Nothobranchius furzeri: one gene and its partners. The protein of the gene in region 6 purifies or fractionates together with the protein of the main gene of each other region. This does not show direct contact. Links are inferred from orthologs where the notes say so. Each region holds a gene or a part of one and is shown on either strand. Other genes may lie near its edges.

Region 1 (4,190 bases), on a different chromosome or scaffold from region 6:
ATCTTCTGGTTGCCACTGGTCCTGGTGGTTTTCTTCCAGTTCGACGAGTTTTCTTTTGGAAGGCTGGCTGACTCCAGTTAAAAACCGCCACATTTCACCGCTAGTTTTAACACGAAGCTAACGGCTAACTTGATAAACTGATTGAATGGGATAGGTGGAAATGACGTTGGATGCGGCGTTCACGTTTCGCGTACGTTTGTGTACGTTGCATGCAGGCGGGAGGAGGATCAGAAATCCATGGAAGATGACTGATAAACATAACTAATTTGGTGCAAACATTTACTCGCCAGGTGGCAGGTAGAGCTCAAAAATTTACTCGCCAAATGGAGCAATTTGCTCGCATTTGGCGAGTGGCGAGTGTTAATTTCAGACCCTGAGTAGACGGCTGTTTTCAGTAGGGAGGAGAGACTGCTACCACCAAAACAGCTCTCCTAATGTCTGAAAGAAGCTCCTTCATGAAGGGAGAAACGCTCCCGGTGATGTTCTACATCTGCGGTAGAGACGGAGCAGCGCATCTGACCCCGGAAGTTGTTGTCCGTTGCCGGGAGACGAAGGCGGGCAAAACAGGAAAGGAATCTAGTAGCGGACGGACGTTGTTCCGGGTCTTCGGTATTTGGCGGAGATGTTAGTGAAGGCGAACTAGAGGAAACACAGGCAGATTCCTCCTCTACTTACTAACTCCTGGGGATGCAACAAGTGGGCGCGGTGCGTCGACTACCGGATCTGACGTTGGCGTCATCGAAGCTTTGCTACAGCTCTGGTTTTCAGTCACTCAGGAAGGTGCATTTGTGTGTATTTTCTCCAGCAGACTAACCTTCATGGTGATGAGCTAGTATTGTTTTTATGGGATGTCTGAAACTGAACACCGAGCTGAGAACCTGGTCGTGCGGACGTGACGGTCCTACCGGGCGGTGTACGACCATAACTGATGTGATCTTAAACACGGCCAGGTTGATGGGCCTTGTAGAGATAATCCCACTACGAGTTAAAGAGTTGTGACCAGGTGAAGTGCTGCTCTGCTTCAGTCTGAGTCTCTGCTTATGTTTCAGGGCTTTGATGAATACATGAACCTGGTTCTAGATGACTCTGAAGAAATCCACATGAAGACCAAGAACAGAAAGCCACTGGGTAAGAGTGCATGCTGACTAGGGCTAAACTGATTTAAGAGAAGGTTGAATTATGACTTCAGTTTGATTCTCCATTTTCTTCACATCAAACAGGCAGTTCTCCTGCATTACTTAACCTAAGCAGGTGCCTGATGGTTTCTTCTCACAAAAGCAGCGCTAGAACACCAAACTCACACATTTGACATGTTTCTTTGGGAAAAAGATCAAAGGCTGGAGAAGATTTGCAGCCGGGTATTGAGAAAAATATTCCACCATCATTGAATAAGAAAATCCCGTAAAACACTCTAAAAAGGTGGAAGGACTGACTCGAGCTCCTGATTAGCAAGGAAAGACAACAACAGCTTCAGAAAACAAACAAGCAGCAGGAGGAATGTAAGGAGCTCTAATCAGGCAACTTGGTGCTGACAAGAAGAAGTCAGGCTCTGAGGAAACGTTGGAAAACCAACTTTTGGAGGCAACCCCTCTGGAAGTGAAGAGGTAGAAGCACCTCTAAACAAGGAGAATGACGTGCTTTCACCAGGGAAAAGGCTCCCAAAGCTCCAGTAGGGCTTCAGGAAACATGAAGCTTTTACACAGCCATGGTCGTCAGACTCTGATGATGAAGCTGAAGAGATTTTGTTAGGAAGTATATCATCGTTTTGTCTAAGTGTGTGTGGGGAAAAATGCCAACAACGTTAGGAAAAATCAGTTAAATCAAATAAAAATAAAATGTTCTAGTATCTCATATTTCCTAGTTCCTACTGCATGAGTTCAGATGCATTAGTTCATGCACTTAAACATTAATGTTCTGATTTTACTGAACAACGTGTTCTGTAATAGTTCCTTTACTATTGTGATCAAACATATTTAATCTCAGTTCTGAGGCTGCTCTGTAAATAGTTTTCAAATAAACAATACACACATATCAACTTCTGATCAATCCATATCAATTTCAGATGTAAAATAATGTATTGATGTAAACCACACCCACTCATTTCCTAATAATAAATAAGGTGCATTCATCTGTGTATCTGATCCACATTAGTGATGTTTTCAGCACCAGAACAATGAAGCAAAGAAACAGATTCCTGAGTTTATGTTAGTAATTTTATTTATTAGGTGCATCTGACCTGTTCTAGTTTTCTCTGAAATGAGATCAGACCAGTACTTCTATGGGTCGTCTCCTCTCTGCACTGGAAACATGTACTTTATTATAATGTTCACTGTAATGCATCTTGATGTTCTTAACAATAAATTAAATCAAAGATATTGGTCAATAATGCTAAATATGTACATTTGTGTTTCAGTCATTTTTATACTGGCTTAAAAATACTTCATTAAGTCTACTAAGCAGGGGTGTAGAAGGTGTTTAACAGGGCCAGCCCACCAATGGTCTTGGACCAAAATAAAGGGGGGCAGAAGGAGATGTTTTTCCAGACGCCAAGTAAAATTAAATGCCCCCCCCCCCTGCAAAGTGTGTCACTGAGAGTTTAAAACAGAAATTATTCTTGTGCAAATGTTGGTGTATTCACCTTTAATACTAGTTATTAAAATGCAGCAGTCGCTGGATTGGTGCAGTTCAGAGTGGAGGGCATCAAATAAAACAATATTAACATGAAGGTGAGACGTGTCATAACCCCCCACCCCCCCCCCCCCCCCCACACACACACACAGCTGGAAATAATCCTACTGCATCATCAACGTAACATGATTTACAGAATACATGTGACTTAACATTTCGCATTCTACCACCGGATGTTTGGATCAGAATATGAACCAATCAGATCTTAGATCAGGTGAGAGCCAGGCGTTTCCGTCCTCTAGGTTTTGCAGCTGATGGAGACCAACTGCAGCGCCTTGCTTCAAAATCTGCAGCCGCCTTGATCTCACGAGGTTATCGCTGCCTACGTAGGCATGACGTCAGAGCAAGTCGGCGTCAAATCGGACAACCGGCAAGCACTGCTCGCTGATCACCGGTGATCTAATCTGCGCAGAACTGGCTCATCTCGAACAAGACCAATGTAACACATGTGACAGCCCCATCTAGTGGACAACTTTGGTCTCTGCACACACCTGTAGTTATCGTCCATTTATCGTTATCGAGGTGAAATCCTCAATGTATCGTGATATTAATTTTAGGCCATATCACCAGCCCTATTGTGTGTGTGTGTGTGTGTGTGTGTATGAGGAACACCCTCTGTAAAGCTGCTCCTGCTGGGTCCAGCAGGGCGGCCCGTTGAGCGGCTTGCTGCCACCCTGTGATTGTACTGAGGCTCTAGAATTCCTGGTGTTGGGGATTCCATGTTGATTTGTGTAAACGGACACTTTGTCTCTCGTTTTGTGAACTGACCTGTCTGCTTCTGCGTCTGTTTGTGTCTCAGGGAGGATCATGTTGAAGGGAGACAACATCACCCTGCTGCAGAGTGTGTCCAACTAGAGACGTGGAGATGCCAGTGACTCTTTTTTTTTTTTTTTCCGAGCAAATGTTTTTCCATTTTGGGGCTATTTGGGTTCTAATTACATGGATATTTTAATTGTTCCTCAACCATATTGAACAGTTTTGAAAATAAAGTGTTTTCTTTCAGTTTGTGTTGCTGTCTAAGTGTAAGAAGGTCTCTGAGCGACACTTCCAGCTGGTGACGGTGTGACGGAGCACTGCTCCACGTACACAGGTGCACATGTTAGTAAATGAATAAATGAAGCAGAACTCGGGCTCGTAGCTGAAGGCAGACTCGGTGAAGGGAGTTGTTTCAGCGGGATGACGTAATACCTCAGTACGTACGCAGCGTGCCCCTGTTCAGTTGACTGGGAAACCCCGAGCGCGAAGCTGCCAACGCCCGGCGGAGCAACTCACCTAAGTCCCACGGTAGGTTCGTTAATTTTGTCTGGTTTGTGCGGGTTTAACGTGACGGTGTTCGTGGTTTGGTCTGGCGCGTGTCTCATGTTTGTGTTCTGTATGAGCAACTGGGATGGATTCCCTCATTCAGCCATGACATCCGTTAGGAGTGGCTGAGCCATTTTAGCCCGCCAGCTAATGGAGGAGGATGGTATATTTAGCCTGCAGCTCACAGCGGCAGCATTATC
Region 2 (3,500 bases), on a different chromosome or scaffold from region 6:
TTATCAAGGGGGATGGTGTAACCCTGAACAAGAGCACATCAAAGGACTTGAAATCTACCCACAGCTGTATTCAGACTAAACCAACCAATGTTCCCGGTGAGTCTGCTCACCTTAGCGTTCTTCCAGTTGGAAATACACGGAGGAATCTTCCACTCCTGCTGCTCTTTGACCGTCATCTACAACAAAGTAAGAAACTCCATCAGAAGCAGCCATAGCTAGCTCATCTTCATTTGCTATGTAGCATCAACAACCAGAGGGCTTCCAACGTTTTAGCTGACCTTTCTGCTTGGAGAGTGCATGACCGGGGCGGGAGGGGAAGGGGGTCCTCGAGGAATCTTCTTATTGATTCTGAAACGCACAAACACTCAAGTTAATTCAACAATCCAGGGATGTCAACCAGACGATGCAGAACTACAGAGAAACACGGCTTGGATCAGGAAAGTTGAAGAAGCAAGTTTAAAGTCTTGTGTGAATTTCTACAGACATGCTAGCCGCGTTCCGCTAGGACTGCCGGTACCCGTCAGCTTCCTCTGGAGTGCCACATGCCAAAAAGACCTGATAGGACTCTTTCTTCAGCTTGACAGCATCCCTAACCGCCGGTGTCCACCAGCGGGTTCGGGGGTTGCCATCACGACAGGCACCGACGATCCTGCGACCACAGCTCCGGTCGGCCGCCTCAACAATGGAGGCTCGGAACAGGGTCCATTCAGACTCAATGTCCCCCGCTTCCCCCGGAACATTTTGGAAGTTCTGTTGGAGGTGGGAATTGAAGACAATCCCAGCAGACCCTCGCGATACTTTTGGGCCGGTCTGGTCTGACCGGCATCCTCCCCCACCATCTGAGCCAACTCACCACCAGGTGGTGGTCAGTTGACAGCTCCGCCCCCTCTTCACCCGAGTGTCCAAGACGTGCGGCCGCAGGTCAGATGAAACAACAACAAAGTCGATCATCGAGCTGCGGCCTAAGGTATCCTGGTGCCAGGAGCACATATGGACACCTTTACGTCTGAACATGGTGTTCATTATGGACAATCCATGACTGGCACAGAAGTCCAATAACAAAACACCACTCAAATTCAGATCGGGGGGGCCGTTCCTCCCAACCACACCTCTCCAGGTCTCACTGTCGTTGCCCACGTGAGCGTTAAAGTCCCCCACCAGAACGAGGGAGTCACCGGAAGGAGCGCTTTCCAGCACCCCCTCCAAGGTCTCCAAAAAGGGTGGGTAGTCTGAACTGTAGTTTGGTGCATGAGCACAGACCAAAGCCAGAACCCGTCCCCCCACACGTAGGCGGAGGGAGGCTACCCTCTCATTCACCGGGGTAAACCCCAACGTACAGGCACCAAGATGGGGGGCAACTAGTATGCCCACCTCTGCTCGGCGCCTCTCAGTGGGAGCAACTCCAGAGTGGTAGAACGTCCAACCCCTCTCAGGGAAACTAGTTCCAGAGCCAGAGCCATGCGTTGAGGTGAGTCCGACTATATCTAGTCGGAACCTCTCATCCTCACACACCAACTCAGGCTCCTTCCCCACTCATTAAATGTTTTTTTGTGACAACTCCAAACTGAAATATATTTCCTTTAGACGACATTTGCTGCCCAACTTAAATCAACACAGAACAAAAAGTAGATCACCATTTCAAACCGTCTGACTTACTTAAAACGAGGAGGCTCCATCGGATCTTTCTGCATCTCCACCATACGGATAACTCGCTGCTTGGCTCCTGAATTAAAAGCCACCCCCTGCTGGGAAGGAGTGTATCTGAAGAAGACAACAATAGCACATGACTAATGTCAATAGAACTGTTCCTAACACACACACACACACACACACATGTTCAGCTTCACTACACACCTGATGTATTGTGCAGGAGCTTGTTTGTCTGCGGCTCTGACGGGCATGGCAGCTGCGATCTTCTGAGACACTTGCTTCTCCAGGGCGGCACGAGTTTTCTCCGTCAGCTACAGAGGAGGAACAGGAACATTTATCCAGTTTATCATGATTACTAATGAGAATAAAACAAACAAGACACAGCAGCGGTTTGCCAGTGAGATGAAATAAAACTTGCAGATAAAGGATTCAATGGTTCAAACAGCCTGTAAGATTCTGGGTTGCAAATAAAAGGATTACTCCAAATAAGAAATAACAGCTGAGTTAAAGCTCGCCTTTGATTATTTAAAGGTAGCATTAATGCATTAGTAATAAATGAAGGATAGAAAAACAGAGCTGCATCTTCTAACATGTTGTATGACATCGTACCTCTTGAACAGCCTCCTCGTCTGGCTTCTGCAGGCCTTGTGCATCTTCATGAAGGATCTCTTTGGGAAGCAGGTCGGTGTACTTGCTGAAGATCACCTGCAATAAGGAAAATACATTCAGTGTTGAGAAACTACAAAGGAAAGCTCACAACTAAAGCCTGATTTATGCTTCTCCGTCTGCGTCAGTGCGGAGACACGCGACGCCATTATCCGTCCTTGCGTAGGGCTCCGGCAGACACGCAAGTACGTACGGAGTCGAGCCCACTTTTTAAAACATCTGTCGAACGAGACGGATTACGCAAGCTTGTGATTGGTCAGGACGCCGCTGTTGTTTACAGCGCCGCCATTGCAAAGAGAGCCGAGGATAACTAGCGGCAGACACGGAGAAGCTTGAAGAAGACCTCGCAAAAAAAACTAAAAATATGAACGTTTCATTCTCCCGTGATTGGAGGAGTGAAAAGATGCGCAGCAAGCGTTTTATTTGTGGACGGAAATGACAGGAAACGTGGGTTTAGAGGTGGGCAGCGCATGAAGCGGTGGGAGAATGACAGACAAATATGTCCGTGTTAAAAGTCTCTTATATACACAAAAAACACAATATAAACACACGATCTTGGACCAATACATGACAGGATACCACAGAACAGCGCTACGCCCTCTGTTGTCCTGGCAGGGAATTGCTTTGCAACACTCTCCAGGAGACGGAGAAGTATGAAAGCAAAAAGCTTCCATCAATCCGTGCGTGTCTGTCCCTTGCGGCGCTGACGGAGAAGCATCAACCAGGCTAGGGCTGTCGCGGTTGAGGAATTCCCCCTGCGGTGATTCAGGGTGGCTTAATATTGCGGTATGCGATATTATTGCAGTCCTTTTTTTATTGCAGTACTATCTAAACATAATGTTTACACATTTAAAAAAGGTTAAAAATTGCCGTGCCTTCTTTTATAACGCTTTACTGAATGCAGCTCAAAGGGCAGTAACAACACAGATCGCAGTAACGTTTGTTTGTCCGACAGTCGGAGTCCGACTGAACTTAAAAACAACAAAATTCAGGAGAAGGTTAAACTTTTAAATGCAAATTTAGCTGCAGCATCTAACAAATAAGAAACAAGTCCCCATTTTGTTTAGTTGTTTAAAATCAAGCATAAAAAATTGCATGTACCGGGCGCGCGCGCGCCGGGGGGCGGGCGCACTATCATTTCACTTTCACACACACACGAATGACGGTGATTTATAGCTCGGTCA
Region 3 (4,259 bases), on a different chromosome or scaffold from region 6:
TCATGAGTGAGCTGTTAGGTAGTCAAGACTGCATCAAAAGCCTCCAAAAAGATCTGGCGGACATCCAAGCAGCCATCGTGGACGTCTTTTCCAGAACAGGACCGGTCAGCTTTACCTCTTGGAAGTTCCCTGACAAACTCTCCTGTAATGTGGACATGTTGGCTCTGCTGGAGGAGTACGACTATGTAGACGGAGAGGATGCCTTCAATCAGCACTCCCACATTGTTTTACTGGAATTAGTGATTGACAGGTAATAAAATGTGTTTTATATGTTATGCATTGTTACCAAAGTAATTCTATTAACATTTGCCTTTCTCCTTTTCTAAAAAGATTATTGCTACTTCTACAAAGTGTTAGTGTTTACAATGAGGTGCCGAGAGGCAGACAGAGAGGAGAGCAAACCCAGCAGACAACATACTTGTCAGTTGGACTCGTGGTCAAGAACTACTGTGGGAATTTACTCCTATCAGCCAACAAAAAGGTAGTATTAATGTTAGAAAATACAAAATACTCTAAAAATTGCATTTTAAATGAAAGATCTGGATACTTTTATGCTTTCTTTTTCACAGGAGCCCTTTAAAGATACAAAGCCATTTGACTCCAACAACACAAATATGGTGCTGTCCAACCCTGCTATAACTAGCTCGAAGACTGAACTTAGTAGCTTTTGTGCATCTGCCTTGTCTTCAGCAAGCTCATTTGATTTTGTCCCACAAACTAACAACACTCCATGCTATCCTAAAGCTGAGCAGCATCATGTGAGCTGCCAGACAACAAGTTCGTCCCTTATTCCCTGCAGCGCTTGCCATCAGGTGCAGTCCCTTTTGAGAAACACGGGAGATGCATTGATAGATCTGTTACAGAGTGAGGGTTTGCCCTCATCTCTGCAGCCTCTCGCAGCAGCTATGGAGGACATTGTGGGTGACATGACATCAGGCGATGTAGCCCAGTGGGCCGAAGAGCAGCTCCGGGACACGAGCCGGCTGACCAAACATCTTAAGGATGTCCAGGGTACTGTGCAGCCTCTTGAAGAAAGAATTGCCGTAGCTGAAATGGAACGTGACAGTTTCAAATCTGAGCTGGAAAGTGCACAGAAACAATTCAAGCAAGAGCTGGAAAAACACCAAATAAACTCTGTCCAGCTGGAGTTTTCTCTACGGAAAGCACAGAGATCCTCAAAAGAAACAGAGCAAAGGCTACAAAAGGAGCAACAACAGCTGAAGAGAGGTAGTTAACACAATCGGTTTTATAACAAGAATGTATTGACATCATAGTTTTTACTATAAATATTTTTCACATTTTTGTGACAGAAAATATGTCCCTGGAGGAGACTAATAACAGACTAAAGGAGAAAATAGCACTGCAACATGACAGCTTACAAGTGCTTGGTAATGAGATGCAGATTCTGTCATTCAACACATCTACAGTATGATGCTGCATAATGACGATTCATTTGCTGGTAGAAACTGAAAAGAAAGCACTCCATGAGAAAGTGAAGAACCTGCAAACAGAGAAAGAGGCCTGCTGCAGACTGCAGGAACAGATCCAACAGCTAGAAACTCAAGTTTCTGATGCTACATTTCTTCTTGACAAGGAGAAGGCCAAGTACAGGAGCGCCTGTCGTCAGCAGGAGGTCAGTGTCACTGTAAAGGCCAGCATAGCTATAAAGGGGATCCTTCACACTGTTTTCAATATAATTGTGTATCCAGTCAATGCTGGCAAAGCAAAAGTCGTTGCTGGAAAGAGTTGATGCTCTCGATGAAGAGTGCGAAGAGCTGCAGAGGGAGCTAGGAGAGAAAGAGGAGGAACGGATCACCTTACACAATCAGATGTCAAAGGTGGAGGAACAGCAGGCTCAGCTCATGCAGCAGCAGGTATATATGTGGCCTAAAATGCAATACAATTGTACTGTAAATGGCCTTAGTTATAATAAAGTCTGTTTTGTTCTTGTTCTTCCATCAGAATTTGTGTGAGGAGCTCCAGAAGGAGAAGCAGACATTAGAAGTAAATGCGGATGAGTTGAAAAAGCAAGTGGCTGACCTGACAAGGCGTGTGGACTCTTTAAAGGAGAGGGAGAGACTGCTGGTGGCTTTCCCAGAGCTCAACAACTGGTCCCAGGCCCAACCTCAGAGTAGGTTGCTACTGAATAACATTATCTGATTATATTTGATTAGATTTATTTCCAGTATAATAATAGCACATGACTTTATTTACATTCTAGGTACAGGAAACTTGATTTTGGATATGGAGCAACAGCTTCAAGCAAACAGAATTCGTATAAAAGTGATGGAACAGGAAAATGCTACTCTGCACAAAAGTCTTGAGAAATTGAAAACAAGAGCTCAGCAAAATGCCTGCAGGGTATGGATGTACACAAAGGAGTTTCATGTGAAGTAGATCATGCACCGTTGGGATTATTATAACTCATTTGTAATGTATGTGTCTGAATAGGAACCTGCACCTCTGCAGACATGAAGCCAGTTTTATTCCTTGGAGTTTCATGTAAAAAACCAGATCAACGTGGATGCAACTGACTAAATAAAAACCTTATTGTTGAAAAAACTGAGCTGACATGTTTTACTTGCCTTTATTAGAAACAGCGTTGGTTGCTTTATTAATCCTCGTCAGTGCTGCATTTCCTGTTTAGAACACGTCAGCATAAAGGTCTCTGAGCTTGTTCTCTCTGTTCCCAAACTTCATCTTGTGATGTGCAGGAAATGCGGGGGTCAGTGAAGATATGCAAATGATTCTGTTGCGGCCTTTTACCACCCAAAACGAAATAATTCCAACAAAAGGCCATGGGTGGCAACCAAGCCCCCACAATGCCGCTCAGAAAATGGTCCCATCCCGGAAGTAAGAAAAATTGCAGTTCCACCCTCATCCGCTGGGGGCTGGTGCCAGAAGCGAGCAAATCCTCATTGACTCCCATGTTAAAAATGCCGATTTCACAGCAGAAATAAACATGTTTACAGCCTGGTGCCAAAACATGTTTTTTGTCTAAATTATCTAGTTTATACTCATGACAACTCTGAGGGGGGTGAATTTTTTTCTCACTCTTCTGTTTAAGTGTATTGAAAGCCTAAAATTCTGTATAATTAATGAGCATCCAACACACGTGACCGCCGCCTCAGACCCACGTGACCACAGAGCTAGCTCCGTGGAAAGGCCTCAGTACAGCCTCGGTCTGGCTTGGAAACTGCTCCGGCATTTTGAGTCTCTGTGTTTGTGTATTCTTCTTTGGATATTATTGGTGCAATTGTTGGACAAAATGACTTGCAGTGGTATTAATTGCACTAATAGAGCGTCCAAGGAGTCTCCACTTCATTTTTTTCGGTAAGTTAAAATCTATATTCGTATTTTATGTCACTGCTACCTTTAAACTAGCTGAGTTTACCGAAGTAGCTAGCTAACTATCAGTTTAACATGTAGCATGTACTGTTTAACCATGAAATTTAAATGTAAAATACGGTAAAATAATTAATAGGGCATATTTAGATGGGTAATAGGGTAAAACCCAGTGCATTTAAGATAAAAATGGGTTGAAATATGACGGAGCGCTAAGAGGGAGACTTCTGTGTCCATTCTTCCATCCGGTAATCCCCAGCGGTCAGGCCGGGCAGCCTGGACGATCCGGCGCCTATTTGCTGCGCCTAGCTGCTGCGCGGTCTGACCGCTCGTGGAGTTTTTCATGTCTGACTTTAACCGCATCTAATACTGTATTACGGCGTGAGCGCAACAGCGACAACTTAATATCGATGTGTAAGCAGCCTGAGTGGTAGGGTGTTTTCATCTGAACCCTCCAGCAGGCTATGCTGCACTATTGACGTGTTAGCGCGCGGCGCTAACAACTTAGCAACGTGACATGTCTCTGAGAAAGCGTAAAACACGGACGCTTCTTCTGAAGCGGAAAATAACACCTCTTCTTAAGCAGAGCAGGATGTCGCCTCGGCTCGTTCACGGCCGAGCCGGACTGAGCTCGATAACATTGACCAAGCACAGCCACTGGGTCGTTGTAGCTGCCACCAGGCCTGCTGAAGGAACTCCAGCGGGTTTCATCAGACTCGTAAAGTTTCTTGTTTTTGCTGGGGATTTCTGTATTTTACCGCTCCCTCCTGCAGTCTTCCCCTATTAAAATTTAAAATGTGTAACTTTATGTATTGTGATGAATGACTAATATTCATGTTAAACTGAAACGTTAGGCATTTAGGGGGAAAAAACAAAATAATAAACATTATACAGATGTCAAATAAATCAAACTG
Region 4 (4,254 bases), on a different chromosome or scaffold from region 6:
CTCAATATATAACCATATTTGATAAATATCACGATAAATAACATACAACTGTTTGTATTTTAACGTCGTCCTTGTAGTTTTATAAGCTGATGATTAAACTGAAGCAAACATCTTTACTGTGAACTAAATTTACTGTGTATCTTCATTCCTTTTACCGTCCTTTTTCAATTGATTTTTCCTACTGGGAAGTTAGAATTTCTGAGGAGAAAGCGAACGCACCATTAGCTGATAACAACGGTGGCAATGGAAGCTAACATATCAAGCTAACGTTATCTTAAACAGTTTATTTAACTGCTGGAGCAGATTAAAACGATGATGCCTCACACTTAGATCGTTGTCGCTGGTTTCATCTTCACCCAGTCACCCGTCGCATTTAGTGAAGTGGACCCAAGCTTAAGCGTTCGTTCGTTCTACCATGCTGCTCTGTTTACAACTGGCTCGCAGCGACCGATGACTTAACGCTCTTGCGCATGCGCAGCTGTCTAGGCAAGTTCTCGTTGTGAAGGACGGGTACCGAAACGAGACACCGTTTCAAATTAAGTGAATCGGTGCTCGGTCGGTACTATGGAATTTGGTCGGTACCTTAAAAAGTACCGAATTCGGTACCCATCCCTAAAAGCAGCATGACGATAAAATCTCGTGTTTAAGAGCGTAGGACTTCCATGTGCAACAGGAGAAACTCCGTTTCAGTCTGTTTACCTCTTTGTCTTCTCCTGGAGGGGGGGGCACCCTCTGTTTCTGGGAGGGCAACAACGTGACACCAGGAGGAAGCGGCCCACGAGGATCCAAGATAGAAACTGAAAAAGAGTTTTGAAAAAGTGGTCATTGCTGTAGAAACTGGACTTACATGAAGTTATGTGTTTTTATTTGAAATAACACATTAGACTGACCAATGGGCAAAGACCTGGGCTGCAGCTTGGCCATCTCCTGCTGACGCTCCTGTTCCAGCAGCACAGCAGCCTGGCACACGCAGACGGGGAGACATAAATACAAGGTGAACATGTAGGAAGTGCAGATTAAAGATAAACCCCTGAGTTTAGTTAAAGCTCTGCTCTGGATTGTTGGCTTCTATTCAGCCGATTACCTGCAATTAGACAAGAAGCAGATGTATATCTAACTTGGCCACTAGGTGGGGAAAAGGCTCTTAAAATCATCACTTTGCAAAGTGAAAGGTTCATTCTGTTAGAGCAAACGGGGCCTTCAGCTCCCCTAAATATTAAACGGAACATCTTTGCCTTTTCTGCTGCTCTAGAAGGTCCTGTTCACCTCTTGTTGTAACCAGAATGAGCAAAAATCCACAATTCACAACAGGATTTTGCCTCAACTAACCCAATTAAAAAACTATTTCTGATTTATATTTTGTTGTTTCAGCGTCCCACAATCTCCCAAATGCATAATATTCTTAGCGTGTAGTGTTCTAAACCAACAACGGAACATGATGGTCTGAGGGCTTCACCTGTTTGGCTCGTTCCTCCTGTTGGAGAACCATGGCCGCCCTGTGCTGAGCCATCTTCAGCTGGTCGTCCTGCGTCAGCGCTGGAGGCAGCAGGGGTCCGTGCTCCATTCCTAAGGGTAAACCAGGAGGAGGAGGACCTCCAGCGGGCATCATGCCCATAGGCTGGAGCATTCCGATGCCAGGGGGCATTGGAGGCATGGGTAATGGGGGAAGAGAAGGTAACCCTGGCATCTGGAGGAAGAAGGAAGTAAATTAAAGGCAAACACCCACTGAGCCATGAGCTTAACTGAACCTCAGTTTTCACAAGTTTCATTTGTTTGTTTTGTGATAATGTGGTTAAACAATTAAATCTAGTCTCTCATCCACCTGTGTTGTTAAAATCTATACAGTGCAGTGATCACCATGGCGACTCTTGGTTTTATTTACTGCGTTTTTTGATGGTTGCCAGAAATATTGTGATAACACAAGAAGACATTTATGAAAAAAAACTCTAAGACCAACAGAAAAGTGTATCAGTACATTAAACAGTGACGTCACAACAATCTGATCAGTCCTTACCTGGACGCCCATTGGGTTGTCTTCATTTGGTTTGCTGAGGATAATTCCTGTCTGTAGGACAAAAACAAACGGGCAGATCCAGTAGATAAATTAGTACTAAAACAAGTTTCTTTAGGAAACAAATCGTGATGAGGAAGTGGAAAAACCAGAATCACATTTCTAAAGCGTTTACCTGCATCATGTAGCCCTTCAGTCTGTCAATCAGCTCCTCTCTGGGACCTGGATGAGAGAAAATAACTGTTAGACAACAAGGAAGTGATTCCAGGAGCGCAAGACAAATTCGAAGTTTTACTGATTCAATAAGATACAAACAGAACGCTACACTGCGTAAATGCAAAGACTTACGCTCAAAGTTAGCAAAATAAGCTAAACGTAAGATAAATACGTTTAAATAGAAGACCCAAACCAATCAAACGTTTAGCTGTTGCTTTAAACGTCACAAATCACGCAGGTAGATTCACTATGTTGTGCTCTAGTGAATGTAAACACACGTAGAGTCTGTAGTTGGCCTACTTTAATAATGCGTTACCAAACTGCTAGCTAAAGTTAACGGAAGGCTAATACCTGGTAGCTAAATTCATTGTTCGATGAGTGCCCTCCAAGTATTTCTTACCCATATTTGGTGCGCCCAGGTCAGCCAGCTTGGCTTGAAGCTCCGGATTGCTCCATGTGTTTAAAGCTGCGATTGCACCTCCTAAATCAGGCGAAAGAGAATCGCTACCCGTTACTCCGTCGGATGCCATGTTGAGCTTCTCTCAATGGAACAACGGCGGCAGCGGAAACAACGCGAGAGTGAGAAGAAGATTGGACCAATGCATTGTGGGAAACGTGCCACAACGTTAAAAAAAAAATTCTTTTAAATTGAACTTTTTCATTTACAATTAACATGGCATAAATTCCTTTGTTTTACATTACCCGGGATCAGGTGCAAAAAATAACAAAAGAGACTTTGCATAGAACGCAAGAATATTTGTGAACGAAACGAACAAACAGAAAAAAATAAATAAATAAAAAAGAGACAAAGAGCTAGGGCTTTGTTTTCAAATCATACTTTTCAAAAAGATTAAGGAGTTTCATTGCATGTTTACTTTTCATAAACTTAAGGGCTTTGGAGAAAGAAAGACACTCGTTATGAAATGCATAGAATCTGGCTTCACATTTCCATATCTACATTTGTGAATGTAAAATTTAGCTACAACGATTATGTTATTTACCAGAAAGTCCCATTCAGTGTTATCTAATATGGCACCGTAAATGACATCGTTCTCAGAAAAGGGTTCAATAGGTATCTTTGTGTATAGCCAGTCATGGATATCATTCCAGAGAGCTTCAGAGAAAATGCAGTAAAATAATAAATGAACAGAGGTTTCTTTATCATCACACCATACACACTTATTTGTTTCGAAACCACATCTCTGTCGTAAGAATTCCCCAGATGGGTGTACGTCATTTAAAACCCATGCCCAACTAAAAAACGTGTGCTGGAAGTTGGTTCATGTGGCCACGGGATGTCAGTGTTGGCACAAGAGAATTTATTAACAAAAGCGAAACTTTTTAGTTTCATTTTTGAAATTTGGTTCACGAATTACAAAATTTAAAAGTAAAATGTAATCAAAGTACAGCTTTTTTTCTTAATGGTCATCTTGCACCAAGAAGGTTGCTGGCTTAAATCTCAGCTGTGCGCATTAGATGTGGAGTTTTAATTGTCGTATTGTGCATGCACTTGAGCAATACTTTGTCAAGAAGACACGAACCTGGTGCCCAAGTGCTGGTGAGCAAACTGCCTCTCCTCCCCTTTCGGTCAGCTCATAGGTCCCCGGAGCATAGAAAAAAACGAATACAAGTGAACAAGGCTATAAAATCTATTTTCTAATCTGCTTTGCCTTACGCCCTGAAATGCACATTTTTGTACTTCAATTCAAATGAAAAGTATTTATGTGTGTTTCTGTGTCTTTCAAATATTTTGAGATGTATTAGCTTGTAAAAATTTGTAATTAAAACAGACTACAAATCAGATGTTGCATATATGATGTCACCCCAAAATCTCTTCGCCCACAGCGTAGGTGCTACATAACACATGGTCAGATTTATAGTGCTTTTATCCATGCATAATGCTCATTTAATGCTCCACCATTGGAAATCATGGTAAACAAAAGACGTTTGAATCTAGAAATAGTGACTGGGTGTTTGGCGCTCTCTTGTTTAATGTGGCAATGCATGTTCCCCAATCAGGAAGACTT
Region 5 (2,210 bases), on a different chromosome or scaffold from region 6:
AGGTGATTAAGCCAATCAGTAAAACGTTTCTTTCGTAGGGAACCCAGCAGATTGGATCGAGTCACTGACAACAGCCTGGAGAGATAAACTGACTAGTCTGATTTAGCCAAACTTTTACGTTTTGGTTTTTCTGTCATGACTTTGATCTATTTCTTCACATTCCAGCTTCAACAATCAACCTGTTTCGATGATCTGAATTAAAGTGTTCCGGTGGGACGGCGCTGTTGAGGAGAACCCCCAGGGTCCCTTACATAAGGTTTGAATGAGGCTGAGGCTCACTGTCCTAGTCCCCTTCCTATATTCCAGCAGAGCTAAGTTGGGACTCACACCCTGGAGACATATTGAAACAATCACAGAAAGAGCATTATGTAACAAAATTCAAACAGGGAAACTGAGTTTCTTGGAAAGTGGGAGCTTCTGTCTTAGAGGATGTTTACATGACAAGTCTGGTTTTTGTTTCAGAATAAAACACTGATGAATAACACAGGCACAACACAAGGTACAACTTACACCTTTTATTTTCTCTCAACATGGAGGTATTTAACAAAAAAGACTCAACAGACACTAATGTTTGGAAAATATAGAAACAGACAATTTTGTACACATGAGAAGCTGAGGACAGCACAAGCCGATGTTCTTAGGGAAACATCAGACCTGCTCACCAAGATCCAAAACCCGAAACTTGTCTAGATTGTAGAAGCAGGCCTTGACGACTCGTCCTCCAAAATAACGTCCATTTAGATCCACAACAGCTGCAGAGGACACAGATGTAACATCAGACTACATGAGAGAAGCCACAATAATTTCAGATTTAAAAAAGAATAAAACATAGAGGAGTTTAAGTATCTCGGGTCTTGTTCACGAGTGAGGGTAGGAGGGATCGGGAGATCGACAGGCGGATTGGTTCGGCGTCTGCAGTCATGCGGACGCTGAGCCGATCTGTCGTGGGGAAGAGGGAGCTGAGCCAGAAAGCCAGGCTCTCGATTTACCGGTCGATCTACGTCCCAATCCTCACCTATGGTCATGAGCTTTGGGTAATGACCGAAAGAACGAGATCGCGGATACAAGCGGCCAAAATGAGTTTCCTCCGTAGGGTGGCCGGGCTCAGCCTTAGAGATAGGGTGAGGAGCTCGGACATTCGGGAGGGACTCGGAGTAGAACCGCTGCTCCTCCGGATCGAAAGGAGCCAGTTGAGGTGGTTTGGGCATCTGGTCAGGATGCCTCCTGGACGCCTCCCCGGGGAGGTGTTTCGGGCATGTCCTGCCGGCAGAAGGCCCCCGGGTCGACCCAGGACACGTTGGAGAGGTTACATCTCCAATCTGGTCCGGGAACGCCTTGGGGTCCTGCCGGAGGAGCTGGTGGACAAGGCCGGGGAGAGGACGGCCTGGAGCTCCCTAATTGGGATGCTGCCCCCGCGACCCGGACCCGGATAAGCGGAGGAAGATGAAGACGAAGACGATAAAACATAGCCATAAAGATCCAGGACCCAATTATTACTGGATTAAATCTACAAACACATGAAAAGTAGTTTAACAAAAGACTTGTCAACAATTACACTTCTCTGTTCTACTGACTAACATTAAGGCTAAATACGCCATCGGCAGTGATTTTAGGGTCATTCGATGTCAGATCATCTCGGTACCCATCCCCAATCCTGTGTTTCATGACCCCTAGTGGGGACCTGACCTCAGCTTTGATAACCGATGACAATAATACAAACTGAACTGTAAGCGTGGGTTAGACTAGACAGAAGGAATAAACCTGAGACTTAAGTGGGGAATGAAAACAAAAGAACCAAGTGGTAAAATAAGTTGAAGATTCTATTACCGCCATGATCCTAGCATGCATTAAGAGATTTCTCCACTTAGTAACCCTTTTTGTTGACAAAACCAATCTTGTAGCATGACAGGTTCTTTAACGGTGCGCCCTGCTTTCAGTAAGCTGTGATGTAAGACCGGTTCTGTTGGTGCCGTGGGGAGACGACTGGGTTGCTAGGCCACATATGACATAACACCACAGGGAACCGAGTCTCCCCTTGTTTCAGATCTGGGCCAACTCATTTAGAGAGGGACACACTTTCACCCACATTATTAGAGCAGCTACACAATCATGGGAAGAAAGTGAAGCAATTATGTAAAGTTGATCTCTTATATGTGACGGTGAACACTGACCTTTGATGGCCGACTCGACCCGCTCAAACTCCAGAAATA
Region 6 (3,982 bases):
AAGATAGTCTCTGGGCATCTTTCTTCTCCACATAATATAAACTTTTCTTGAACAGTTCCAAATCCTTTTTCCGTCCGCTTACATGAGGCTTAACCTTGAGGAATTTACATCTGTGTATAAAAGGTTTTCCCAGCTAAATCAAAACATTTACCAAGAAATCTTGATGTTTGTCTTTCAAAAACAACCCCACTTATAGCAACCAGTTTAACGGACTTACTGTGACATGCTTAGACAACAACCAAGTGTGAACAGAACACCAGAAATATTTGAAGAAGAAGAAAAGAAGAAGAAAATATCATTTCTATAGCGCCTCTCAAGATAAAAATCACGAGGCGCTTCACAAAAACAAAAACAAAAATATAAAAATTGTAAAAATATAAAAAAGCATTTCGAAAATGTTTAAAATATATTTAAAATGAGCAAGATGTTGCGATTTAAAAGAAAAAATGTTAAGAAAGAGAGAGAGTGAATAGGAAAGGGGGAAATCAGTGGATCCTGAGGAAGGTGGAATAGGTGGGGAGAGCAGAATAAAGAGAGAGAGGTGAAGAAGGTCATACAAAAGCCAGCTTGAACAAGTGAGTCTTCAGCTGCTTTTTAAAGGAGACCACTGAGTCCACTGATCTCAGGCTCAGGGGGAGAGAGGTCCAGAGTCTGGGGGCCACAGCAGCAGATGATCTGTCACCTTTGACCTTTAGCCTGGTGCTGCACAACCAGTAGGCTTTGATCACTGGACCTCAGGGACCTGCTGGGGGTGTAGGGACTAAGAAGATCACCAATGTAAGATGGTGTTTGTCCATGTAAGGCCCTATAGACCAGAACCAGGATCTTGACACACTCACATTAAATTAAAAAAAATATGTTCTACATTTTCAATATTATTTTCACAAAAACCACATGAATTATTCATCCAGTTAAATCTAACATGTAGAAAGTTATTTGGATAATATCATTTAAAATTTTGAATGTTACTCGACGCAAAACTTTGTTGAGTATAATTCCGTTTCGTATTAGAACATTTACAGGTATGTATAAATGTGGATAAATAGGTCAAGAAAAACGTGTTTAAATCAATTATTGTTTTAAAAAATGTAAGATAGCACAAAAAGAGCGTAAGCATAAGTGAAAAGTTATTCGGATATTCGTTAAAATTGTAATAAATAGGACATCCGCTCATTAAAAGTGGGTCCTAATAAGCACCGCCCCCCTGCTCATATCCGGTGTGACACATCCGGTGAAACACCGGGGCGCTAATCGTAGTGTGTGTTCAGGTGTGACCAGAAAAGGTGAGTTTTTCCTTCATTTAACTTAGTTTGAAACAAGTTTATTTATCAGTAACGCGACATGGGAGCAGATGAATGTGTTTTTTATGTAAAAGCGATGCTTGTTTGACTAGAACTTCGTCAGAAAGGGATCTGTTAGCCACCGAGCTAGCTGATGCTAACATGTTTTCAAACTGAAAAATCTTAAATTAAAAACTTAATTTTCATCAGCCTGATCCCACGCTGTTAAAAACCGGTGTTTTTATTTTTAGACATTCATATACATTTATTAACATTCGCGTATAGTTGAGTTTAGGATAATTTTGGTATTTAAACAAGAGATTTTGAGTTCAAAAAGTTGAAGTAAAATCTAATTGTACTTCGAAATCCCCCAGATTACCGAAATTTGATACCAGCCCGTCCCATTGATCAACTGTTATTATTGTTATTATTATTATTATGGGTTCTCCTGTTTTCAGACACTTATCATGGACATCCGGCCAAATCACACGATTTACATCAATAACATCAATGACAAGGTGAAGAAGGAAGGTGAGTTGAGCTGATTTTACATTAATTTACATTTATGGAGCACCTCTCTAGACACGAGTATTAAAGTTTTGCACAGAGAACATCACAATATAAACATACCAAGCAAAAACAACAATTTTAAGGCTTAAATCCTTTTAAAAAGATACGTTTGTAAAAGAATAAAAGTTCAAGTCAGTCAACATGTTGCTGCTTAAACACCAAGTTAACTGATAAACTGTGTTTTTCTTTTTTCAGCTTCATTTTAATTTTTAAATGAAATCATACAGGCTGAACTGGAAAATAGTCTTCTGTTTCCTAAGTTAGCTGCCAACAGATCAGAGACGGGGAAACGTTGGGATTCCAAAGCCCAGACAGACCCAGGTCACACTGAAAATTAACATTCATGGATTCACCCATCTTGGCACATCTCTTGTCTCCTTCCTCCCGTAGAGCTGAAGCGTTCTCTCTACGCGCTCTTCTCCCAGTTTGGTCAGATCGTTGATATCGTAGCCATGAAGACGGAGAAGATGAGGGGTCAGGCCTTCGTCATTTTCAAAGAGCTCACCGCTGCCACCAACGCCTTGAGGCAACTACAGGGCTTCCCCTTCTATAACAAACCCATGGTACGCAGACTGTCATCTTTTCCAGTTTTTGATCTGCTCTGTAGTCAGACTGTAAAATAACAACCTCCCAGTTAACCACACACACACACATGATACACATAGCACATGCATCCAATGCACCATACTAGTTGTTAGTTGTGTGCAATATTATTTGAGTGTTTCTGGTTTAGCGTGAATTTTTTTCCCATTACTGGTGAAGCGTGCCGTGTTGGTGCGGTTTAATGTCTTTATTGTACTTTAGTGTTCTGTAAACTCGCTGCTCCTACCTTTTGACTGTCCTCTTTCTGTCGTGACAAAAGCAAAATTCCCACATGAGAACATTAACAGTTTGCCTAACCTAACCCACCGGCAGCTTGGCTTTGTCTCAGGAGCAGAGGGGGTTGTGGGCCCTCTCAGAGCTGCAGGTCTGACTCGGGTCTTGTGTTTTCTCAGAGGATCCAGTACGCTAAGACCGACTCGGAGGTCATCTCCAAGATGAAGGGCACGTTTAGTGACAAGGAGAAAAAGAAGGAGAAGAAGAAGAAGGCTCAGGAGCAGGCGGCAAATGCCGCTAAGAAACCATCGGCGGTGAGTGTTGCTTCTGCTTCGTGTGACTTCTCTGACCCAGACCCGACTCTTCTGGGTTGAGGTTATTTTAAAGGTTCTGGCCCTGTTGGTCCAAACCCTGCTGACCAGCATCAGAACACCAAAATGTTGTGTAAAGGTTTATGATTCACTTGTGTTCCTTTGCAGGTTTCAGTTGTGCCTGTCCAGACGCCTGCTGCTCAGGTGAGAAAACCCACATCTTTACAATACCTGTGAGCTTTCAAACCTTTTATTTATTTATTTATTTTCTTCTCAGGTTCCAGACAATCCCCCGAACCACATCCTGTTCCTCACCAACCTTCCAGAAGAGACCAATGAGATGATGCTCTCCATGCTCTTTAACCAGTGAGTCCAACATGACCTCCTCCATCCAGAACCTCAGCCACCTGAAACCAGCTGAGTCGTTTTAGTTCCAAAAGTCAGAATTCTTTTGTTTCTGCGACTCGCAGCAGAATCAGAACCTGAATCGAACCAGCAGAGTGGGGAGGGCGCTCAGGATTTGTCATGGGGGTGAGCTAGAGGAGATCTGTATGAGAAACAACAATGACGGTGATGGTTTTTGTCAGACTGAACCCAGAAACGGCTCTGGGCAGCGTGGCGGAGAACTATGGAGCAACTGCTGACTCCTGGAGTTGTGTTTTTGGCTCCGTACCCTTACCCCGGCTTTCCACAGGAGCCGTCAGCAGCACGTTACTGCAGCAGCACGTCATAGCTGCTGATAGGAACCGCTGTGGTCAACAGAACCTTTTCCACCGGAGCCGTCGGCAGCGCGAGTCGGCCGCGTGTCAGGAGCAGCATGTCGCGGCCTTTACGCGCCGGTTCTATTTTCTACGCGCGACGCCTCTGAAACGGGTCAAGTTCGACATTTTTGGGGAAGGAAAGACAGGAAATCGGACGCGGAAACGGAGAGAAGCTCCAGAGATTTTCAGAATAAAGAACGTACTGCCTTCCGGTCGCTTTACTTTATAAAACGTTACTGTGTGG
Region 7 (4,232 bases), on a different chromosome or scaffold from region 6:
TCCAAACGCAGATTTAAGGCTCACCTCGCTGCGCAGGCTGGGGGGAATCTGGCTCGGAGCTGCGGATGATTATTCAGGCTCTCGGCGCGCAGCCACGCTGTCTGAATTTCAATGTGAGCGCGTGATTCGCACGCGCACACGCGCTCTGGGTGCACAAAGGCTGAGATCACAGAGGAGGAGGAGGAGAGGCTGCAGAAAAATGCGCTTAGAGTCGAGCAGCTGCAGGAGGCTGCTGCCTCCCAACGGAACCAGGCACGAGACGTCCAACTCGGGAGGAGGACCACTGAAGTGCTGCTCAGAACCAGCAGGCAGGAGGAGAAGGAGGAGGTATCTTCCCCCCACCCCTGAAGGAATAGTTTCTGCAACTTCCGGTTTTTCCTTTTCACAATTAAACAATCCCACGTCTTTCACAATACATACATCTATGACAACCCCCCCCCCCCCCCAAAAAAAAATGCAGTAATATTCTAAAATGTCAGGGTGCTTGAATTCCCCTGTCAAAATATATTGAAAAAGATCAGACTAATTATTCTACAAATAATAATGAACTATATACAAAACAAACAGGCCTCCCAGCTAACAGAGCAGTGGTTTCCAGATGTGTCGGTGTGATTCATTGAACAACCAAACCAAACCAAAGTTTTTACCCTCACCAAAACAAAAATAGGTCTACCAGTATGGTTATTCTATTTTGGGTTGACATAGTCAAATACTTTATTAATAATTATTCTTTATTTTTATCTGACTTTTGTAGATTATCTCAAGTCCCTAACTGAGGAGTTTTGTGACCCCCAGTGGGGTCACAACCCCAACTTGTTTTCTAACACAAATAAGTTGCCTCTACGTTTGAACATCTTTTCTCTGGTGACAAATGCATCTTCCCACTGATGGGATGAGAAAATGTTCGCCTGACCTCCATCTTTCCTAATCTGCTATTTAGCAGCATGCAGCTTCTCATAATCCATGTCATGTTTTTAAATGAGAAGTGGTTCTCAGCAGTTCACCTGGATAAATAAATGTAAATAAATAAATACCGGTACATAAAATAATTACTAACGACATGAAATGTGTTTTCTTCATGTTATCTAAATATGATATTATTACTGTAATAACTTGAAGATTAATCAAATGTAGAATTGTGATAAGTATTTATTCATGTGAAAAGAATGACAAAAATATATTGTATTTTTAGATATAAAAATCACGTTATAACTTAAACAGATATTGTTTGAGCCTTTTCCTTCACGGCGTTATGCTATATTTTATTATCGCTTGAGTGTGTAGCAAAACAGTTGATTTATTTTATTGTCTAAACTTATAAAGCGATATCAAGTGTTTTGTTGACATCTGCTGGACAGCATGCGCTACTACACTTTATTTCTATCAGGCATTGCTAAGGTCACCTATGAAACCCGCTTCACGGTTAAAGAAGGACCCACACAAACGGAAGCCCTACGTAGGCTTGCTGTCCTGAAGCAACAGAGAAATATTCGAGCCGATGAGTTTCAATCCACCAGAAATCACAATCATCTAATTAAATAACCCGGTAAATTTTTTATTTTTCAAAATTTAAACAAGTATTAGTCTGAATAGGAACGATATGTTTGTGAACTATGAAAGGCTTTTTAGTAGGATAGCAGGAAAACAAAAGCGGATGCTGCTGGCAAGAAGTGGCGCTTCGTATGAAAACCTTGTGGATTTACCGTGAGCAGGCCGAGTTTATCCGAAAATAACCTATATACAGCTACGGAAACCGTTTATGGGGATAAGTTACATCCTGAGAGGTTTCGGTGAGCCCGGAGGAGTTGCAAACTGGTAAACATTCACGTCGTGCAGTAAATTGCTAAAGTCTGCTCATTCAGCGGCTGGGAGGAAAAGCTAAAGAGCGTCTTGGATGGATTGGGGTCCACAGAAGTCCGGGTACCAGCTCCAGCTGTAATCAGTTTAACTCGTACGGGTCTGATCTGGACTAAAACGCACGTTGGATTGTGAAAATAATTATTGAAATGTCTTCTGTCTGAATAGAAAAGGTCAAACTACATCTGGTAAAGGTGGTGCCAACAGTTATCTGGCCCTTTTATGCGTTCCCTTTAGGAAGGTTTTATAAATAGTTGAAAGAACTAGTTTAAGTTGGTTTGATATACTACATGAGTGGAAATCACTTCAGCTTCTGCATTTAACTAAATTCCCATAGGCAGTTCATTATTTAGAGTGTATTTGTTGAAAAAGAAGCTGTTGGCCTGAGTCATCTAGTATGTGAATCAGTTGACTGTAGAAGTTTGAGCTTTCGCATTTAACCACCTGTTTGCAGTTGTGAGCCGGGCTGAGCTGCTCCGGAACAACCCTGAAAGGGAACCATGTTTCTCTACAACATCACCCTGCAGCGTGCCACTGGCATCACTCACGCCATCCATGGAAACTTCTCAGGTGAGCTTCCTCCGGATTTTTTTTTAACTTTGTATCTTTTGTTTGATTATCCAAGTGCGGGCTTCAATAAAACAGTTATGTTTTATTTCAGTGTAGGACCAACGCTGTGTGACACAGCCTGTGCAGACCAAACGTTTTACTTTTCTATATTCAAACAATTTTAACCCTATAAAGCTCGAATCATGTTAATTAAATGTTTGCGTGTAGGAACCAAGCTGCAGGAGATTGCTGTTTCCAGAGGAAAGATCCTGGAGTTATTGCGGCCGGATGCTAACACGGGAAAGGTGCACACACTCCTCACAATGGAGGTGTTCGGCATCATCAGATCCTTGATGGCGTTCCGACTCACCGGAGGAACTAAAGGTACACATCAGACTGGAAACAATAAAAATGTGTGTCATGTATTTATAAATATTTTACAAACATCAAGACATTATGACTGTATATCATATTTATAACATGAAGTACAGTTTAAAATAACAGTAACTAAAATAATATTACAATTAGGGCTGCAGCTATTGAATATTTTTGTAATCGAGTACTCTATCAAATCTTTTATCGATTAATCGAGTACTCTAATAAATGGCCCTTTTGTGTTTGTAAACCATTATATCAAATAGCATGTTATAAAATATGAAAGACCTCTTAAAATAAGCAAGCAATTGCCAGTTATTCCTCAAGTTTTATTCAAAATTAGTTTTCAAAACTTCATCACTTCAGCTTTACTTCACAGTAAACAAATGCCTGTGCAAAAAATAAGTATGCACAGTGTTTCCCCTAGGAATTTTTCCAGGGGGGGGGGGGGCTTGGCGAGAAATTATGACACGTCTCTAAATAAAGTGAAATTTTCTAGTGCAGAGTGGAGACAACCCATAGAAGCACTAATTTGATCTCATTTCAGAGAAATATAGAACAGGTCAGATGCACCTAATAAATAAAATTACTAACAAACTCAGGAATCTGTTTCTTTGCTTCACTGTTCTGCTGCTGAGAATATCACTAATGCGGATCAAAGGAGATACACAGATGAATGCACCTCTTGTTTATTATTTGGAGACTACATTTACTGCAGCTGGCAGAGGCAGAGATTTTTTCTATTGATACACGGAATTTACAGAATCATTTTAAATGTTAATAGGGGAAGACTGCAGGAGGGAGCGGTAAAATACAGGGGGTCCCCAGCAAAAACAAGAAACTTTACGAGTCTGATGAAACCCGCTGGTTTTCCATCAGGCAGTCACGGGGCAGCTCCAACGACCCAGTGGCTGTGCTGGGTCAATGTTATCGAGCTCAGTCCGGCTCGGTCGTGAACGAGCCGAGGCGACGTCGTGCTCTGCTTAAGAAGAGGTGTTATTTTCCCGCTTCAGAAGAAGCGTCCAACGTGTTTTTACGCTTTCTCCGAGACATGTCACGTCGCTAAGTTGTTAGCGCCGCACGCTAACACGTCAATAGTGCAGCGTAGCCTGCTGGAGGTTTTAAGGGTTCAGATGAAAACACCCGACCTCTCAGGCTGCTCACACATCGATCTTAAGTTGTCGCTGTTGCGCTCACACCGTAATATTAGATGCGGTTAAAGTCAGACATGAAAAAATACATGAATAAGTGATGCTTAGCCTGGTGGGGGGAGGAAAATCTGGCCTAGTAAGCACTGGAGGAAACCCTGTCAAGATCGTCAACACTCATTTATCTTAATGCTGTTGAAACATGTAAACCAAAAAGCATTACATCCACTGCTACCTTTCTAATTTTAAACTCAGTAACTTATGCTGTAACTTCACCTTGTCCTGCCTGCTCCTCCTTGCTGC

Evidence for each region.
Region 1: the proteins of snrpb2 (region 6) and snrpe purify together in Homo sapiens (affinity purification with mass spectrometry; 3 studies listed by BioGRID and IntAct, counting the BioPlex papers as one, with this or other methods). This does not show direct contact. The link is inferred for Nothobranchius furzeri from reciprocal best matches to the Homo sapiens genes SNRPB2 and SNRPE.
Region 2: the proteins of snrpb2 (region 6) and snw1 purify together in Homo sapiens (affinity purification with mass spectrometry; 3 studies listed by BioGRID and IntAct, with this or other methods). This does not show direct contact. The link is inferred for Nothobranchius furzeri from reciprocal best matches to the Homo sapiens genes SNRPB2 and SNW1.
Region 3: the proteins of snrpb2 (region 6) and sf3a1 purify together in Homo sapiens (affinity purification with mass spectrometry; 5 studies listed by BioGRID and IntAct, with this or other methods). This does not show direct contact. The link is inferred for Nothobranchius furzeri from reciprocal best matches to the Homo sapiens genes SNRPB2 and SF3A1.
Region 4: the proteins of snrpb2 (region 6) and sf3b2 purify together in Homo sapiens (affinity purification with mass spectrometry; 4 studies listed by BioGRID and IntAct, with this or other methods). This does not show direct contact. The link is inferred for Nothobranchius furzeri from reciprocal best matches to the Homo sapiens genes SNRPB2 and SF3B2.
Region 5: the proteins of snrpb2 (region 6) and rbm17 purify together in Homo sapiens (affinity purification with mass spectrometry; 3 studies listed by BioGRID and IntAct, with this or other methods). This does not show direct contact. The link is inferred for Nothobranchius furzeri from reciprocal best matches to the Homo sapiens genes SNRPB2 and RBM17.
Region 7: the proteins of snrpb2 (region 6) and sf3b3 purify together in Homo sapiens (affinity purification with mass spectrometry; 4 studies listed by BioGRID and IntAct, with this or other methods). This does not show direct contact. The link is inferred for Nothobranchius furzeri from reciprocal best matches to the Homo sapiens genes SNRPB2 and SF3B3.

What each region holds. Positions count from the first base shown.
Region 1 is NC_091743.1:2,213,663-2,217,852, forward strand, and holds the end of snrpe (small nuclear ribonucleoprotein E), read left to right. Parts: intron 1-1,049; coding exon 1,050-1,128; intron 1,129-3,487; coding exon 3,488-3,543; 3' UTR 3,544-3,690; downstream 3,691-4,190. UniProt on the Homo sapiens protein: Plays a role in pre-mRNA splicing as a core component of the spliceosomal U1, U2, U4 and U5 small nuclear ribonucleoproteins (snRNPs), the building blocks of the spliceosome.
Region 2 is NC_091742.1:20,654,240-20,657,739, reverse strand, and holds part of snw1 (SNW domain-containing protein 1), read right to left. Parts: intron 2,356-3,500; coding exon 2,260-2,355; intron 1,962-2,259; coding exon 1,855-1,961; intron 1,762-1,854; coding exon 1,657-1,761; intron 349-1,656; coding exon 279-348; intron 177-278; coding exon 111-176; intron 24-110; coding exon 1-23. UniProt on the Homo sapiens protein: Involved in pre-mRNA splicing as component of the spliceosome. As a component of the minor spliceosome, involved in the splicing of U12-type introns in pre-mRNAs.
Region 3 is NC_091757.1:36,509,305-36,513,563, reverse strand, and holds the start of sf3a1 (splicing factor 3A subunit 1), read right to left. Parts: upstream 2,801-4,259; 5' UTR 2,586-2,800; intron 2,567-2,585; exon of another isoform or gene 2,476-2,566; coding exon of another isoform or gene 2,452-2,475; exon of another isoform or gene 2,398-2,451; coding exon of another isoform or gene 2,222-2,397; intron 2,132-2,221; coding exon of another isoform or gene 1,963-2,131; intron 1,875-1,962; coding exon of another isoform or gene 1,710-1,874; intron 1,634-1,709; coding exon of another isoform or gene 1,464-1,633; intron 1,389-1,463; coding exon of another isoform or gene 1,311-1,388; intron 1,228-1,310; coding exon of another isoform or gene 570-1,227; intron 482-569; coding exon of another isoform or gene 331-481; intron 251-330; coding exon of another isoform or gene 3-250; exon of another isoform or gene 1-2. Other genes in the region: ccdc157 (coiled-coil domain-containing protein 157), read left to right, coding at 3-250, 331-481, 570-1,227, 1,311-1,388, 1,464-1,633, 1,710-1,874, 1,963-2,131, 2,222-2,397. UniProt on the Homo sapiens protein: Component of the 17S U2 SnRNP complex of the spliceosome, a large ribonucleoprotein complex that removes introns from transcribed pre-mRNAs.
Region 4 is NC_091742.1:75,394,453-75,398,706, forward strand, and holds the start of sf3b2 (splicing factor 3B subunit 2), read right to left. Parts: upstream 2,801-4,254; 5' UTR 2,758-2,800; coding exon 2,628-2,757; intron 2,234-2,627; coding exon 2,187-2,233; intron 2,066-2,186; coding exon 2,015-2,065; intron 1,688-2,014; coding exon 1,457-1,687; intron 961-1,456; coding exon 891-960; intron 798-890; coding exon 700-797; intron 1-699. UniProt on the Homo sapiens protein: Component of the 17S U2 SnRNP complex of the spliceosome, a large ribonucleoprotein complex that removes introns from transcribed pre-mRNAs.
Region 5 is NC_091741.1:60,738,436-60,740,645, forward strand, and holds the end of rbm17 (splicing factor 45), read right to left. Parts: coding exon 2,172-2,210; intron 753-2,171; coding exon 649-752; 3' UTR 501-648; downstream 1-500. UniProt on the Homo sapiens protein: Splice factor that binds to the single-stranded 3'AG at the exon/intron border and promotes its utilization in the second catalytic step. Involved in the regulation of alternative splicing and the utilization of cryptic splice sites.
Region 6 is NC_091746.1:29,739,999-29,743,980, reverse strand, and holds the start of snrpb2 (U2 small nuclear ribonucleoprotein B''), read left to right. Parts: upstream 1-1,182; 5' UTR 1,183-1,283; intron 1,284-1,738; 5' UTR 1,739-1,747; coding exon 1,748-1,811; intron 1,812-2,240; coding exon 2,241-2,413; intron 2,414-2,845; coding exon 2,846-2,980; intron 2,981-3,145; coding exon 3,146-3,181; intron 3,182-3,254; coding exon 3,255-3,343; intron 3,344-3,982. UniProt on the Homo sapiens protein: Involved in pre-mRNA splicing as component of the spliceosome. Associated with sn-RNP U2, where it contributes to the binding of stem loop IV of U2 snRNA.
Region 7 is NC_091744.1:81,791,440-81,795,671, reverse strand, and holds the start of sf3b3 (splicing factor 3B subunit 3), read left to right. Parts: upstream 1-1,432; 5' UTR 1,433-1,546; intron 1,547-2,311; 5' UTR 2,312-2,357; coding exon 2,358-2,427; intron 2,428-2,634; coding exon 2,635-2,790; intron 2,791-4,232. UniProt on the Homo sapiens protein: Component of the 17S U2 SnRNP complex of the spliceosome, a large ribonucleoprotein complex that removes introns from transcribed pre-mRNAs.